Mytilus edulis: one gene and its partner. The protein of the gene in region 2 interacts with the protein of the main gene of each other region in a pairwise test. Links are inferred from orthologs where the notes say so. Each region holds a gene or a part of one and is shown on either strand. Other genes may lie near its edges.

Region 1 (7,955 bases), on a different chromosome or scaffold from region 2:
TGACTCGAAAGTTTTATGACTTCAAGGCCAGGTGCATCTTTAATCACCCCATTGAATGTTTTCTACCTCCCCACTAGAATGTACACGACCATTTATCTTAATCATCAAGTGTTCGGAACTGTACATCAGATTCTTTGATTAACAATCATATTTCTTTGACATTGCCATAATATTCTTTATTTACTATTGAAGAGATATGTTTGCCTACGCCTGTAAAACGAATGCATAACACAACATATAAACGATGCTGTCGGAACATTTTTAGAACATGACATTTTACTTTTCTTGTAATGCAATTCCATACAATTAACCTTACTTAATTGTTTATCATGGGTACATCGTTGCAAAGGAAATACCGAATACAATCTTAGTGTTCGATCATTGTCGGAGATGTCTTGTTATTTATTATAGGTTGAATGGCATGTACAAATATTCACACCTGTAAGCAATATCGTTGTAATACTGTAAAGTAAACTGAGCGTTTAATGAGCATTGCATTTGTTTTTATGAAGAAACCAGAAGATTCGTCAAATGTCTTTTATATTTTGTGACTTTTATGCTATATTAAATGAAGTCATTGCAACAAATGCATAGTGAAACGTTCTTTCGTTTGCCGAGAATGATCTTGGTTCTCGGCTATTAGTGGGTATTTAAGCAGGACCCTTCAACTCAAGCAAAATTTATCTTCAAATATTCCAATATCGATATAAACACCTGTCTTCATTACATCTATGATGCTGTACCCTCATATATTGTGTTTTAAGCATATATGTGTAAAGCTCACAATTCACTTGGAACAAAAAAAAAAAAAAGACTCCAACGATTCGTAAACTTAATAAAAATTATAAACAACCATAGATGTTTGCTTTAACTTCCTTCAAAAACAAACTGGATAATCGAAAACAAAATTACATGTGCTATAACAGAGTCATGGTGCATGCACGCACTTATTCTTTATATAAGACTGTGACAGGGTAAATGTCCTAGGTTTTTCATTTGATATACAACCTGCTGAAAAACAGGCAAAAGCTATACCAAAAGGACATTAAAACTCACTAGTCGAAAACAAACCTGACAACGCCATGGCAAAGAAAAGACAAAAACGAACACAAATCACAACATAGAAAACGAAAGAATGACACGAACCCCACCAAAAAACGGCGGTGCTCCGGAAGGGTGAGCAATCTTGCTCTTATCGTTAAAGTGATTTTTGCCTATAATATTAATGGAAATTTGATATCAATCGTGTTAGAGAATCCGTATATACTACTTACATATCATATATAGTATATCTATATATATATATATGTATAAAAATTGCGGTTTTTATCCAACGCAATCATAGGTTTGAACGTAGTTTTCAATTTAGACTCGTTTATATTTTTTCGTTTGGACTTGTATCATATTTTCCCTCCGGTTTATATGATCCGTTCATCCTATATTGACTCTTAAAATTCAAGAGTCTATCTAAAAATGAGGGTACTTTTTAGATGGCCTTCCAAATACCGTTTCGATCCCTAACATCACTGAAGAGACATTTATTGTCGAAATCTGGATCGGCATAACATCGTGGCCACAAGTTATTTTTTTTCTGTTAAAGCATTAAATTTATATTAAGATCCATTTGTTACATCTTGTGATCAATTTTATTTGGCAATCGCCAATGGCAGACAGCAGGGTTAAAGAACATCAGTTGTTCGACCTGTTAGTCAAATGCGTTTTGTTTAAATATACTTTTTCACTTTTTTTTTGTCTTTTTGAAAATGTTGTTTGTGCTGTTTTTAGACCCTTCTACAACGAAATTTGTTTTACATGCACACGTATAAAAATTGCGGTTTTTATCCAACGCAATCATAGGTTTGAACGTAGTTTCAATTTAGACTCGTATATATCTATATATAAACTTATTCTACGATGAAAAGGGAGGAGTAAATTGTGTCCAATCTACTACTATAGGTTTGGTGACGGAAACCTTTCTCGTATTATTTAAGAGAATACTTAACAAAAGGAAGCTGGTATAATACTAAGTGTTTTGTTTATAAATAGTTGTGGTTATAACGTGGTTGTCCGAAGAATGAACCCTTTTGATTAAAATGTCCTTATGCTAGGTGTTTGTAAATATGCAGACTTTGTTTTGCAGATCGTTGAACTTATCTATATTCGCAACCTACATATGCCTTCCTATGGATATTACAGAAAATTGTTTGACCGAAATAAAATAATAAAGAGCAAGCTTGATTCCTTCTGTTATTCCTGTTGGTTTTCACGGAGCATTTCAAATCAATGATACTGATATCCAAGTAGTAGACTCCAAGTAGATATAGGCTCTTGCTATTTGGGTTGATTTAATCCGCCACTTACTACGCCTTATATTTATTGCATGTTTCGAGTCCAACTTCCTCGACAGTATATTTAACACATACATTTGAATTCATTTTTGACAATTGTACATGCATGCATGTTAATACAACAGGAATTTTATCTAAAAATGTCTTGAAGGTAACCTTATAATTTACATCACCAAAAGATGTATGCATGTTTTCAGTCAATCTTTCAAATATTGTGTTTAATAGATGGTCAGCTCGTCAGTGTTGTATAGATAGTAAAACATCTCCAGTGCTACATATAGACAGTAATACAATCTCTTAATGTGTTTGCCATGTTGGTATCCCTATGCTTTTTATTGCTAACTATAAGATTGGTTTTGCGTATTTTCAAGTTTCGAACTCTGACCTGTAGTTGTTTTTACTTCTATCCTTGAAAATATATATCATACTGAGTTAAAATATATTGAAATGTATTGTATTTCTTAAATTACCACTGCCCAGTATACGGCTTTCCTTTGACTGTTTTTCAAGGCAGAGTGTTTTTCAATGCATAGATGTTCACATAGAGTGAGTTATACCTTACAAACTGAAGAGTCTCACTAAAACCGGTGCTATTGTGGAGCTTTTACTTTACAATGAAGGTCTCATTGTAACCTTAAGGCGAAGAACGGTTAAAAAGAAGGGTTAACTTGTTCTTTTCTTTAAATGTTACCAATACATGGGTATAGATATTTTAAGTCGTGAATTTAGACTTCACACCCCTTCTTAATGTGTCTGTGTTATTGTTTACTATACATCTGCTTTTGGTTACTCGTCGTTATACTATTCCAATGCCCTTGCTCTTTGACCACAGGAGGTTGCGAGATGGCATGATGGCTTTATCCAATCTAACGATGATTAAAATATCGGCTTAAAATATAGACCTCTAATCTATTTATCCTCATATAATCTCAATTTAAAAAAAAATTAACTTCACCAGTTTTATTGTAACTTTTTTGAATAGCTTTGCATGTGCGTGCCGATGTTTTGATATTGCATGGTCAGTTTATATCGTAAGTTAATCTGTGCGTCTATAATTGTACTTTCTTTTTTATTACAAGTCTACAACATGCAGAACAACAATTTGTAACATGCCTCTCTATGATGACGAATCGTAAGATTCATTCTAGAGATTTCTATCAATTCAAATAACTCAGATTGTAATGGTAATCGTATTTGTATAGTTCTTTTTTCCTGCTAGTGAATTTTAGTCATACTAAAACATTGGCTAGCAATTCCACTTGTGACAAAAGGTCATACGAAAGGAGCAAATTGTGTAGATAGTTCTATAGACAGACCATGCATGTTTCGCAATATACCAATAAATGAGTTAGTCTTCACCCCCCCCCCCCCCCTAAATCCGGCTCTGACCGCCTCTGATAAACATACATAACAGTGCGAAACATACAGAGATTCAAAAATTGAGGCTCAAATATCTGAAAAAAACTACCGATTCTTTCTATATAACGAGTAAATCAGACGTAACAAAACTTTTCTGTTCAAATATTCTTTTTTAAACTACGATAGTGTACATGTACTTCGGGCAATTCGAACTAGTTAGTATGTAACTCTTGTACACGAAACACTATGTAAAACCAGAACTATAAACGATTACTAAAACAATCTGTATGATGAGGGTTAAATAGTTTTTTTTTTGTAAAATGCTTGAATAATTTCAAGAGAGCACCGGCCGGCTTCTATAGAACGCATTACGATTGTATTTGCATATTTTTTGTAAGATCTGTTGATCTCATAATCGACTATCCTTTATTCAAACAAACAAAAATTCCACAGTGCATGAAAGAGGTGTTAATAACAATCATATATTATTCGTTTCTGTAGACGAATATAACAAGTAAACACAGAGCACCATTGTCGTAGAAAGTTAGCGCAAAGACAGTAAGGCGCAAGATATTTTTAATCAAGGGGTAGAGCCTAGGATTATTTTATGATAGCAGAAGCATGTATTACATGCAAGAAAATTATAAAACAGTTCTTTTTCGCTCAATGGAAGGACTTATTAAACACACACACACACACACACACACACACATTTTTTTTATAATGAAAAAAATCCAAGGGTCGTCACTTGTAAAATTATCGAAGCTAATAAAGCTTAGAACGTAAAAACTATTGAATAGGTTCCAAATTTCAGTAAAACTGAGTATTCTTGACATGTTTAAAACATGGTATGACATTAGAAAAATTAGAAAAATATAAAAATATTTTTCGTCTTTCAAGGTCGTGCCATTATCAGTAGAGGTTTGTTGTATAAAGTATTTTGAATAGGAAACATTGACAAATCTACCGAGTATTGCAAAAAATATTTTATCAAACGGCCAGTAGTGTTAAGTGCTTGCTACTTTTGTCCACTTAAAGACAATTTCATATCACTGAAAAATCACACAACATTAGCGGATGTCTTGCTTTTCAATCCTACCAATTTATGACATAATTTGTTAAGTAGTTGGTCTTCCTGCCATTTGAGGTATATTCAAAGTATAAAAAAGCTTCTGTTTGTTCTTTCTGGCTGATGTTAGAAAGATATGGGCTGTTTATGATATTAAGCTAGGTGAACCATCTTGTAAGTTATCTATTTAGTTTTATTTGAGATTTTTAAAGATATCTGTGTTCTATAATTTTGTTAATCTTTTAATAATCTTTTAACTTTCTATGTCAATATGAAAAAATATTTATGCATGGCTCCTGGGTAATTTGCATGAATTAACATCTGTTTGGAAGTTCAAAAACACGACCTAATCTGAAAAATTAAAAGCACATTATACAGCAGGAAATGTTTGTGTTGTGATCTAATCTACTATCCCAAAGGAAGCGAATATTTAAGAATATGTACATGTGTTATTCTGTTGATCCGTATTATCGGTTAATTAATTATTACATGTATCAAAAATACAATGTATGTGGTTATGCTAACATATTAATCACACAGGGCTCTCTACCCGTCTACCATCTGGAAACTTCTGGAAATAAGGGATTAATTTACCTAATCATTGGTCCAGACGTTGGTCATTGGTCCTCAATCCCGCCTCTTATCTAATTGTGATCATACTAACAGTATGACACACGTGCATGTACACAATCATTCACTAGTATCGGCTTTCACGCGCGTCCCATATATGGAAGTGATGCTGCGCAGTTGAACACTGTGAGTCTCCTGGCATTATCTTGGGAAGTGATTTCGTACATATATTCTGAAGAATCTCACGTTTCTACGATAACCAATCTGATCTAAGACTATTTATAAACCAACCCTGTTTGGCTTAGATGTTGAAAATGTGTGTACAGTGAGAGACAAGCCGGCTTGTTACAAAACATCTCCCTTTTCCTTGTCAACTCTTGGAGTACGGACGGGACCTGACTTTTGACCACCGGAACTGACTTTCGGATTGACTATAATAATAATAGTAAGTTTTAATAACCACTTTTAAATTAATTCAAACTTGAACTGTAATTATTTGGAACTTTATTGCATTGGTAATGCAGTTTTGATTGGCATGATAAAGGTGTTATCAGACAAATTTGTAAACAAAATGTTATTACACTGCCAATCAAATTATTAATTTTAATAGTTTTGAATCTGAGAGTTTTGATGAAATCAACATTTTTTATTAAAGACCGTGAAACAATTAAATGAACAGTTTTAATAGTTTCAATAATAAACATTGGAACTGTTTACTTTTTCTTATTTTTCTTTCTCTTCGTTACTTTTTGTAGATAAAATTTAGGTTTTTAATACAAGTACATGTTAAATGTATGATCTACAAAAACAAATTTTGTTCCACCAAGATAATTTTTTATTTGTTAAACACTTGTTTGATTTCGTACTTATTATGACTTTCACAAAATGACTTCAGGGAAATGTTTTGAAACAATATAATGCAATACAAATGCATTTAACAAAACAAAACAAAAAATGTGGGATCGAGTGTGGGATGAATATTCTCTGACGGATAGTTTTCCCTACGGTGAAAATAAAAATAGCAATCCTCTGGATGTAATTCATCAGTAGGGATAAACTTCAAAGATTTAAAGACGATGATGGGAGATTTTAACGACCGTTACTGGCTATACAGCCCTCGTACAGTTGAGTGTTTTTAAAAGCCGAGTAACACTTGAGAAGCTATAAGTGACAAAAGGGCCGGATTTAAGAGTGGTGCACATAGGTTAAATTGGTTAATTAGTCTCTTAATCTGGCTCAGTCATCTTAATCTATAGCATAGCAATGTGTACATACTACAAAAAACATCTATTATCATGTGCATACAGTTTAGGATCAAACGATGTAGTCTGCTGTAGTGTCAGCTAAGCAGCTATATAAGGGTTGACAACTTTTGACAGATTGGCGCGATATTTCATCTAGAGTTATTGCCCTTTTTCTGTATAATTCATGTAGTAATATCACTTCTGGTATTTTCCTATATTTCTAGTTCACATTGGGTTGGTATGAACAAAAACTTCGGTTAAGCAAGGATTTGTATAGTATACTATACAAATCCTTGGGTTAAGTAAAAAAATAAGTTGATACAAGAAAGAAATTATATATGAAGTATCTATATCACAAAAAAAAATGACAAAAGACATCCATAGACTAAGTCAAAGTGAGTGGAGTTCTGGATTGATTGATACTAGATTTCTGTACATTCATACTTATTGGTTAATTGGCTATAGAGAGTGTTTGTGCAATATATCTAGCCATGGTTAGGTTGAGAAGTACTTTCTTAAGTTTCGTCTGGAAACTTCGCACAATAATCACCAAAAATTAGAATGCAATGTATTAACAACCGGAAATCATAAACGGCATATGGTTATGATTAGTTCAGTTGACTCTTATTTGTTCTACACATATTTTCTTCATAAGTGGTCTTAATAACAAAGTGACTTTAATCAATAAGCACGTCATGATAAAAATCATACTGAGTAATGAATAAATAATTCGAAATATGCCACAAGATGGATACTACTGATCAAGACAACAAACACATATTACATAATGGATATATATACTTATGTCACATATTAAAAAAAACCACACACACACACACAAGCAACGATGACAATACATTTTACTTTAAAACACAGACGTTACATTATACATAAAAATTAACATGTGAATGGATATATAATGAATATGTGAAAATAAAAAATAAAAGTTGTCTTTCTTATACCAAATCGGGTAATACTGCTTGACATCTAAATCGTCAGAGCAAGCACTGAACTAAATTCTAATTCTGGTTATATAATCATATCAGGATAATTCCTGTATTTCTGATATCTACGTACAGTTTAATACAATGTTCAAATGTCTTATAAATATTCAAAATATTTAAAAGATATCGTCTTATTTCTTACATAGAGATATTGATCTATACTCAAAGACAAAAAACTACAGTTTATTATTGAAGAAGACGCCTATTGTTTATGGATTCAAACCGACCTTCATCTTTGTCAGTTTTTTTGTGGGGCTCGTTTAACTCAATCTTAAGTGCTTTTTCTGTGGTGTTTTGTTTACTGCTGTTTGTCTGTCTGTTATATTTTTTGTTGTCATTGCATTGTCAATTTGTTTACAGC
Region 2 (8,234 bases):
ATGGATCCACTAACTAATTTACATAAAATTAATTTGTTATATGGCAGAATACAATTGTTTCATCTGCTAGCGAGTTGGAAAAATAAAAAATAAAAAAATAATGGTTTTCATAAAATTTTAATGTGATTCCCCTTAAAGTTTGCATGAAGCTGTAAAATCAATGGAGATCATTGAAGGCTAAATTGAATTTCAAATGTACTGTCTACCAACTTGCAGTTTTATGTTTTCAAGGGTAAATTTTAATTTTCTTTTCAATAAACTTAAAATGCAGATGCAGATGGTATTAATTGAATTTGTTCTACGATTTATTTAAATCACTGTGCCTTATTTAAAACAGCCATTAAAAGCTAACATGCATGGTTACAGTCCAACTTATTTGTTATGGGTTTAACATGCACTTTATTCTACGATTGTTTTATGAAATGATAGCCTGGTATGCTCTGACTTTGGTATATACAAACCTATAAACATTAACTAATCACAAACAGTGATACTTATAACTATGGATTCATTTATTTTAGTGGATGTGGAAATAATCATGATAATTGAATTTGTGGAACTGCAAATAGTGGGTCTTAAACAAGCTGATTCGGTAAACAACTTAAATTTGTTTGTCACCTCTACCCATGAAATCCTTGAAAATTTAGCACATAATCATGAAACCTCAGTATATAAACAAATGCATTACAAAAGTAAATCACTTTAAAGTATTCAAAAAAGAAGAAAAATATAACCAATTTGGTAATTTGTGTTAATATGCATTACATCATAAAGTAGACATCATCGTTTATGAAATTCAATCACCATTTAATATTCAATAATATTTCAAAGTCTTTTCAAGTACCCTTTATGAAATTCTGAATTAGTTATTGTCCTACAAACATGACTCTTCAGTTTTAAATTTCTATATTCAATGCTTTAAATTTGTCAATTCATTACCCATTATAAGAAATTATATTTCTAAAATAGATCTGACATTATAAAGGCTACTAATTATTGAAAATGTATACAAAATTGACACATAATTTTCTGCAATTACTTGTCAACATATTGTGATTCTCCCTGGTTCTCAATGTATTCCCATACCACTCAAGCTGATTGACGTCCAAATTAACGAAATCACAAATGTCAAACGATTCTCGGATAAAAAACAATGTTTTGCATAAAAAGATTCAACGTCTTGAAAACTTTAAAATTCCCAATAGAGGCAATAAAAATTGTTGTCCTTTGTTTACCATTTGTCCCATACAACAGACGTTAAATCCTGACGACAGACAAGTAATCGGTTGTCGTGATGTGTCCCCTTACAATCAGTGTTCTAATTTTTTTCCAATTTTTCCAAATGGCATCACACCTCTGAAGATTTATTTTGATTTGTGAAGTGAAAAAAAGAGAATTAAACCTATTAGAATGTTAATTCATCTACTTCTGCTCTTCCTACAAAACATCTGTCTGTTTTTTTTAAGATACAGAAAGTTTGGTTGGAATTCTTCTTCAAATCATTTTCCACTTATTCAACCAAAAACATTGTTCAAGAATTGAGTGTTCTGTTCTTTTTTCTCAAGTCCAGTCAAGAATGATTTTTTCCCTTTATTTTCTTTCTTAATAAAAAAAGACACTACACATATACAATCATGGTTTACTTTTATAAATTGTGACTTGGATGGAGAGTTTGTCTCATTGGCACTCATACCACATCTTCCAATATTTATACACAAAAGTTTAAGATACACAGACTTATCTCTTACCCTAAAAATGAAAACTTTATGATGATTGCTCATTTTTATGAGACATTATTGGAGTAATGAAATGTTGATTTTATATAAAACAAATTATAATCACCATCATCTATATATGTTAAAAAAAAAAGACAAAAAAACATGACATAAAAATTTAAAAATCTACAAGCGTTTTTTGAATATTGCTAAAAATATATATATGAAATTTATAAAATGAAAATAACCAACCTGCTTTCAAAAGATTCTCAATAAGTCCTATAATCTATCAAGTAAATTTAAAAGTTAATAAAGCCACTTATACAGGTAAAACTTGTCATTGTTGTCTACAGATAAGTTAACAATGAGTTATATCAGAGATAAAATGATGGTATGTCACCAGCGATCATCCTACCCAAGTCACAATAATACCACAGATTTCCAACCGATTACACACTAAATACAGCTCTCTCTGTCCAGACCAGATTGAGCAGTAAATAGGTCTATAGGATAATGATTATATAAATAACTAGATACAGGTTAATACTACATGTAAACACAGAATCAGACAGTTGTATATAGGGGAGGTGTCTTCACAATCAACCATTTTATCCTGTTAGGCTGAGCTTTTTTGATAGAATATATTGGCTTATTTTGAGAATAGTTCTTACAACCAAATAAAATTTGAACAAGCCTCATTAATCCTAGCCTGGCACATCATGGCTTATTGAAAAAGTTGAGTAGCGGAAATTTGGTATTAGTTGGAGCCATGAAGATGGAGGCACATAACAAAATTAATGTTTGCAAAACCTTTATCAGAAGAAATGAAAAACAAAAAGTCAATGGACAAACAGGGTACCCTTATGTTCATCAGGCGCAGGGTTATTCAGAATCTGATTGATACTAATACCGAATCCTGCACATTTTCACCAAAATTTTATAATTTGTTGAAACTACAGTTTGATCAGAGATACTACAGAGAGAGGTAGTTAACACTTGTATCTATTATACCTTAAAGCTGTAAACTGAACATACATGATATAGTTTATAACTTTACGATATATTATATATGTATCAGACTACTAAGAAGCCGCAAGTCAATATTATCAAAATATGATCTGTTTGTGGTGTACATTTTTGTTTTTCATGTGGAATTTTTTTTTTAAAGAAAAATAAACGATAAAATATTTATGTAATATTTGCCACTGGACTTGAAGCATCGCTTCCTGCATCCTCTGTAAACATTACAACATGAACACTTGGAATATTTTTACAAAGAATGATAAAAAGCCTATCAGGTTTGGACAACAAATTCTGGGGAAAAAATCTTTTTTTTTTACCATTCTTAAAATTATACATTTTACTTGAGCTCAAAATTAAATAAACAAAATATTCACTTACTTAAGAATGTACAGCATAAATACTGAAAGTGCATGTATCAGTTATGATCCTTTGTTTATAAAGTTAGTTTCTTTTTTAAAGCTGTCACACAAAAACCTATAGAGAAATCTGTTTTAAATAAGCCACAAGCTCACAAGGAAACTATTTACCTACAAATTTAAAGTATTTGTACAATAAAAATTCAAACCATTAAATTCTATAATAAGTTTAAATATTTCACTAACTTTTAATTTAACAGGTAAATCCTATTTTACACATCACTGTCCTTATGATATTGACAATATATCTTCCATTTATAACCAATACTTATTGGTCCTATGGTTTATTTATAAATAATACAATATTTATCTAATCTTATGAACAAAGATTTAAGATTTCAATATTTCACCTCAAGTCCTTGGGTGCTTTATGTAACATGTTGTATATATGAATAAATTACAATAAACGTAAAAGTCAACTACCAATTATCACCCGAAGTTTGAGGTCAAAATAAATTCACTCCATCTGTAATATTATCACTCATATCATAACAAGAAAGATGATTGATACCAAAGGAACATTTAAACTCATAAGTCAAGACCACGCAAATTGATGCCAAGGCTGAATACCAAAAGTAAACAAATGAGAAACAGTATACAAAACACAACATTGACAACCACAAAATGAGCAACACAAATTAACAACACTAAAACAGGGTGATTTCAGGTGCTTCATAAGGGTCAGCAGATAAATTAACAACACTAAAACAGGGTGATCTCAGGTGCTCCATAAGGGTCAGCAGATAAATTAACAACACTAAAACAGGGTGATCTCAGGTGCTCCATAAGGGTCAGCAGATAAATTAACAACACTAAAACAGGGTGATCTCAGGTGCTCCATAAGGGTCAGCAAATAAATTAACAACACTAAAACAGGGTGATCTCAGGTGCTCCATAAGGGTCAGCAGATAAATTAACAACACTAAAACAGGGTGATCTCAGGTGCTCCATAAGGGTCAGCACTCAGCAGATTTATTTTTTGCTATTGGGTTGCTTTAAAAACAACACATCTGCAATCTTAATAAAGTTCACATATACAGTAAACTGTCAAATACCTTAAAAACAATATCCGATATGGGGGGTAATATTGAAGTAAATGAATACAAAATTTTATTACAATAAATCAAACATTATAAAACATTATCTATGCTTTTAAATCTTAAAATTCTCAAGGATTTATATTGCAATTATGTACTAAGATCACATAATATACTAAATCTCACTGAAGTTTCCTCTTCAGTATTAAAATTTGAGAATGGAAATGGGAAATGTTTTTAAAGAGACAACAACCCGACAAAAGAGCAGATAACAGCCAAATGCCATCAATGGGTCTTAAATGCAGCTTCTTTTGGTAACTTAAATCCACAAAATTTATAAAAGAGTACAAAATACCCTGATGAAATGCTTTGCAATTTCTGTTTCTTTACCAACAGGAGTAAAAAAGGGAACATGCCAGCATCAGATCATCCCCCAAAAAATAGATCACAATATTCACATGTACCATGCAAATCAGCTATTATATGAGAGAATGAATACCATGGAATAACTCAGCCCTATAAACAGAACACCATTCAATTATAACTCCATATAACCATGATAAATATATGTTATAATGCAGGACAGATGGTTTATGTGTCAGAAATGTCACCGTAACATCGGAGGACAAATATGCACTTTCTCTGAGAGCATGAGATATCACCCACAAAATCCTCTTATACACTAAGTGATCTGTACTTAATTGATTTTTACTGTTTATAAAATATTAACGAATTTTTCCTTCATGTTTTAAAAACAGGTTTTATGACCCACATGAGTAAAGGATTTGTTTGTTGTTGCAGTTATAACATGTTTTACATGAAAATAAAGGTTTAAGGATCTCATTCAATTGTTACTGATACAGAGATTTAAACATAAAACAAGAGTTACATTACTATTCAACGTAAACATGGAACATCCTATTCTTTCAAATTTTAATTCAAATTTGACATTAGGTTGTATTAAAGGTATTACATTGTGTATTTTGTTCAATTACTGATTATACCGCTGCATCGAGCATGATAGGATATTTCTTGTCTCATGACAATTATATTTTCAAATTAAAAATGTGAGGCTTATACTGTATCTTTTAAATATTTAAAATTTAAAAGTCTCGAGAGAAGAAATATCATATTGCATGCGTTACGGTAGTGGAATCTATTACTCTCACGATTTATAAGAACATTGTATAGGCAAACTTTAATTCCATTTTTAATGATTTGCAAAAATATTGAGTTTTTAAACGTGACATAATCAGACATGGTCAATGGAGCAGGAGGGTCTGAGGTTCAATACATTATAATTGATATTCCTCCATGCAAATCAAACTAGATATAAAATATAAATGATGTATCATAAGACATTCAAATGAATCTAATAAAGAAAACTCCACATTTAGTGCTGACAATGCCACCTGGCACCATGTGACATTTGTTCCAGAAGGACAAAAAGTATATAAAATATCTATATCCATCCTATTAATAACTTTTTTAAATCAATAAGATTTCTTCATTTCAATTTCTTATAAATTCAGCATGATTCCAGATTTCAATCTTTATTTTTATTCAAATCAATGCGATTTCCTGTTTGACATCACCCTATGTCCTATCCCACCTACATCATACAATGCTACGATCGACACAACAGTAAATACTATTAAAGCAAAGAAGAAACAGCTTAATTTTCCTATACAATCTAAGATGTATGAAATCAGCTTATACACAAGAAAGCAATCAGCGATATAAAGCTATGTAATAGGGTTATACTATCTCTATACAATGGTCACAAATTACTTTATTTTCTCTGTCAATAGAACTCAGATTTCATGATAAGATTCTTCAACAATGGACTAGATTTCATCAAAATCGATAATTCAACCTTTTTTTATTTCAGTTCTTTCTGCATCAGTCACTCCAGTGAGCTACTTGGCCTTAAAAAAAGTCGTTAGTTTTTTCAATTGAATAGTTTCATTTTTTTTTATCAGGGCCTATTAGAGTATGGGGTTTTTCTCATTTTTGAAGGGGGTAGGTTTCCTATAATTGCTTATATCCACTTCATTGAATGGATACATGTAGGTGTCTCATTCGCAATCATTCCACATCTCCTTATTTTCATTTACCATATTTTCATTCAACAAAGTCAATTGTGACTTCTCCAGTTATATAGCATAGAAGACATAAAACTGGTGAAATTTAGGGCTTTTTAAGGTTAAAATATCAGACTGGTTCAGTTCCATAGAGTATTTTTTTTAGTGGCCTGTCATCGCTGACATCTCTATCCAAAAACCCAGATTTGCATCCTACATCAGGCCCATAGATATATTTGTTTACAGGACTGAACAGGGGGATATAAGAATGACACTAAAGTATCTTTGAACAACCTCAAAAGATTGCCGTGAAGAAACTGACTGCGTGAAGAAACTGACTGCGGGAATTCGTCAATGCATTAATATTGCACATAAAAGGTATAAAGAACAATTAGAAAGAAGAGATTAATAGAGCTTCTGATTTCTGACAGACTGCAAGTTTCCCCTTTATTGATAGTATCACTGCTAGGGAGTATCAAATTGTGGAATATCCGAGACAGAGGTGTTACTGATTATCAAGGGACAAAACCATGTGACAAATATTTAACAGATTACAGAACGGGGTGAGAAATCACACATATGGGCATTACTATCAGTTCATTATATCTCCCTAGTAAATCTGATAGTCCTTTTGGGTTTCCACTAATTTCCAATGGATTGAATACCATTCCTGTTCTATCAATCCCAGATATCAATGTCCTGAACCAATAAATCACCGGTCAGTATCTAACTGCCCATCTGTTGCTACAGAGCCATTGTCCACTAGTTTTATTACTCAGATCATGAACTTTACATTACTATGGATTAATTCTCTATAAATCAGAAATCCCCTTGAACTATCAATTTATAGCTCAAATTAAAATCTAATTTCCACATTATCAAATTCAAACAATTACAATTAGAGCTATTTTTACAAAGTTTTGAGTGACTGGGTATATCTCTTAGCCACAAGCTTGTTCAAGGTCTTTTGTGGGTTTTATTATATCAAACATAACAAAAGCAATTCAAGCATGTGACAGATGTTATGAACAATAAATTTCATCTTCAAAATTAAAATAATTGTGTAAAAATCGATAAAACGATTTATATCCTGCATTTTATGTGTAATCTTAAAATCAGTGAAAAACAGATGTCAAATATAACAATACAAAAGTCGGTGTGCTACTGCATCAGATAATCATATTAATTATCTAAATGGTCTACAACATACTGCATTGTCAATAGTGGGTATAAAAAATGTCAAATATATGACTTTTATTCTGCCACATAACTATTTCTTTTTGTAAATGCTTAGAAACAAAACAGACAGGCCTTCATATAAACAATACTCAAGTAGCTCTGTACCATATAAGAATATTTAGCTTAATCAAATTGATAAATACAATCAATGAAAAAGTTCTTCCTTACAACACAACAACACACTTTAATTTGATTTATTATCTTTAATACCCCTGCATGGGAAATGCTAGAGAAAGTTCCTAGAAACTTTCACTCTAATTTACACCCCTGTTTTCGACTGTTATTCCCTAGAGGTAACTTTCACTCAATACCTCTCAGTGTGGATGCAGGGGTTGGAACCCCCCCTTTTTTTGGACGATAAATGCATTTGAATTGGGATAGGTAAAGAAGGGAGGGGGAGATCTCATAAACATGTTTAACCTGCTGCAATTTTGCACCTGTCCCATGTCAGGAGCTTCTGGCCTTTGTTATTCTTGTATAATTTTTAATTTTAGTTTCTTGTGTATAATTCAGAGTTTAGTATGACGTCCATTTTCACTGAACTAGTATACATATTTTTTAAGGGTCCAGCTGAAGGATGTCTTCAGGTGCAGGAGTTTCTTGCTATATTGAAGACCCATTGGTGGCCTTGGGCTGTTGTCTGGTCTATGGTCCAGTTATTGTTGCTTTGACACATTCGATCCCCATTTCCTTTCTCAATTTTATATAGGGTTGGAACCA

Evidence for each region.
Region 1: the proteins of teneurin-m-like (region 2) and filamin-A-like interact in binary tests that used the Drosophila melanogaster proteins (3 or more experiments, as listed by UniProt). The link is inferred for Mytilus edulis from reciprocal best matches to the Drosophila melanogaster genes Ten-m and cher.

Annotation. Positions count from the first base shown.
Region 1 is NC_092344.1:98,892,335-98,900,289, reverse strand, and holds the start of filamin-A-like, read left to right. Parts: upstream 1-4,850; 5' UTR 4,851-4,950; intron 4,951-5,099; exon of another isoform or gene 5,100-5,791; intron 5,792-7,955. UniProt on the Drosophila melanogaster protein: Involved in the germline ring canal formation. May tether actin microfilament within the ovarian ring canal to the cell membrane. Contributes to actin microfilaments organization.
Region 2 is NC_092351.1:10,849,380-10,857,613, forward strand, and holds the start of teneurin-m-like, read right to left. Parts: upstream 3,189-8,234; 5' UTR 3,117-3,188; intron 2,138-3,116; exon of another isoform or gene 1,968-2,137; intron 1-1,967. UniProt on the Drosophila melanogaster protein: Involved in neural development, regulating the establishment of proper connectivity within the nervous system. Acts as a homophilic and heterophilic synaptic cell adhesion molecule that drives synapse assembly.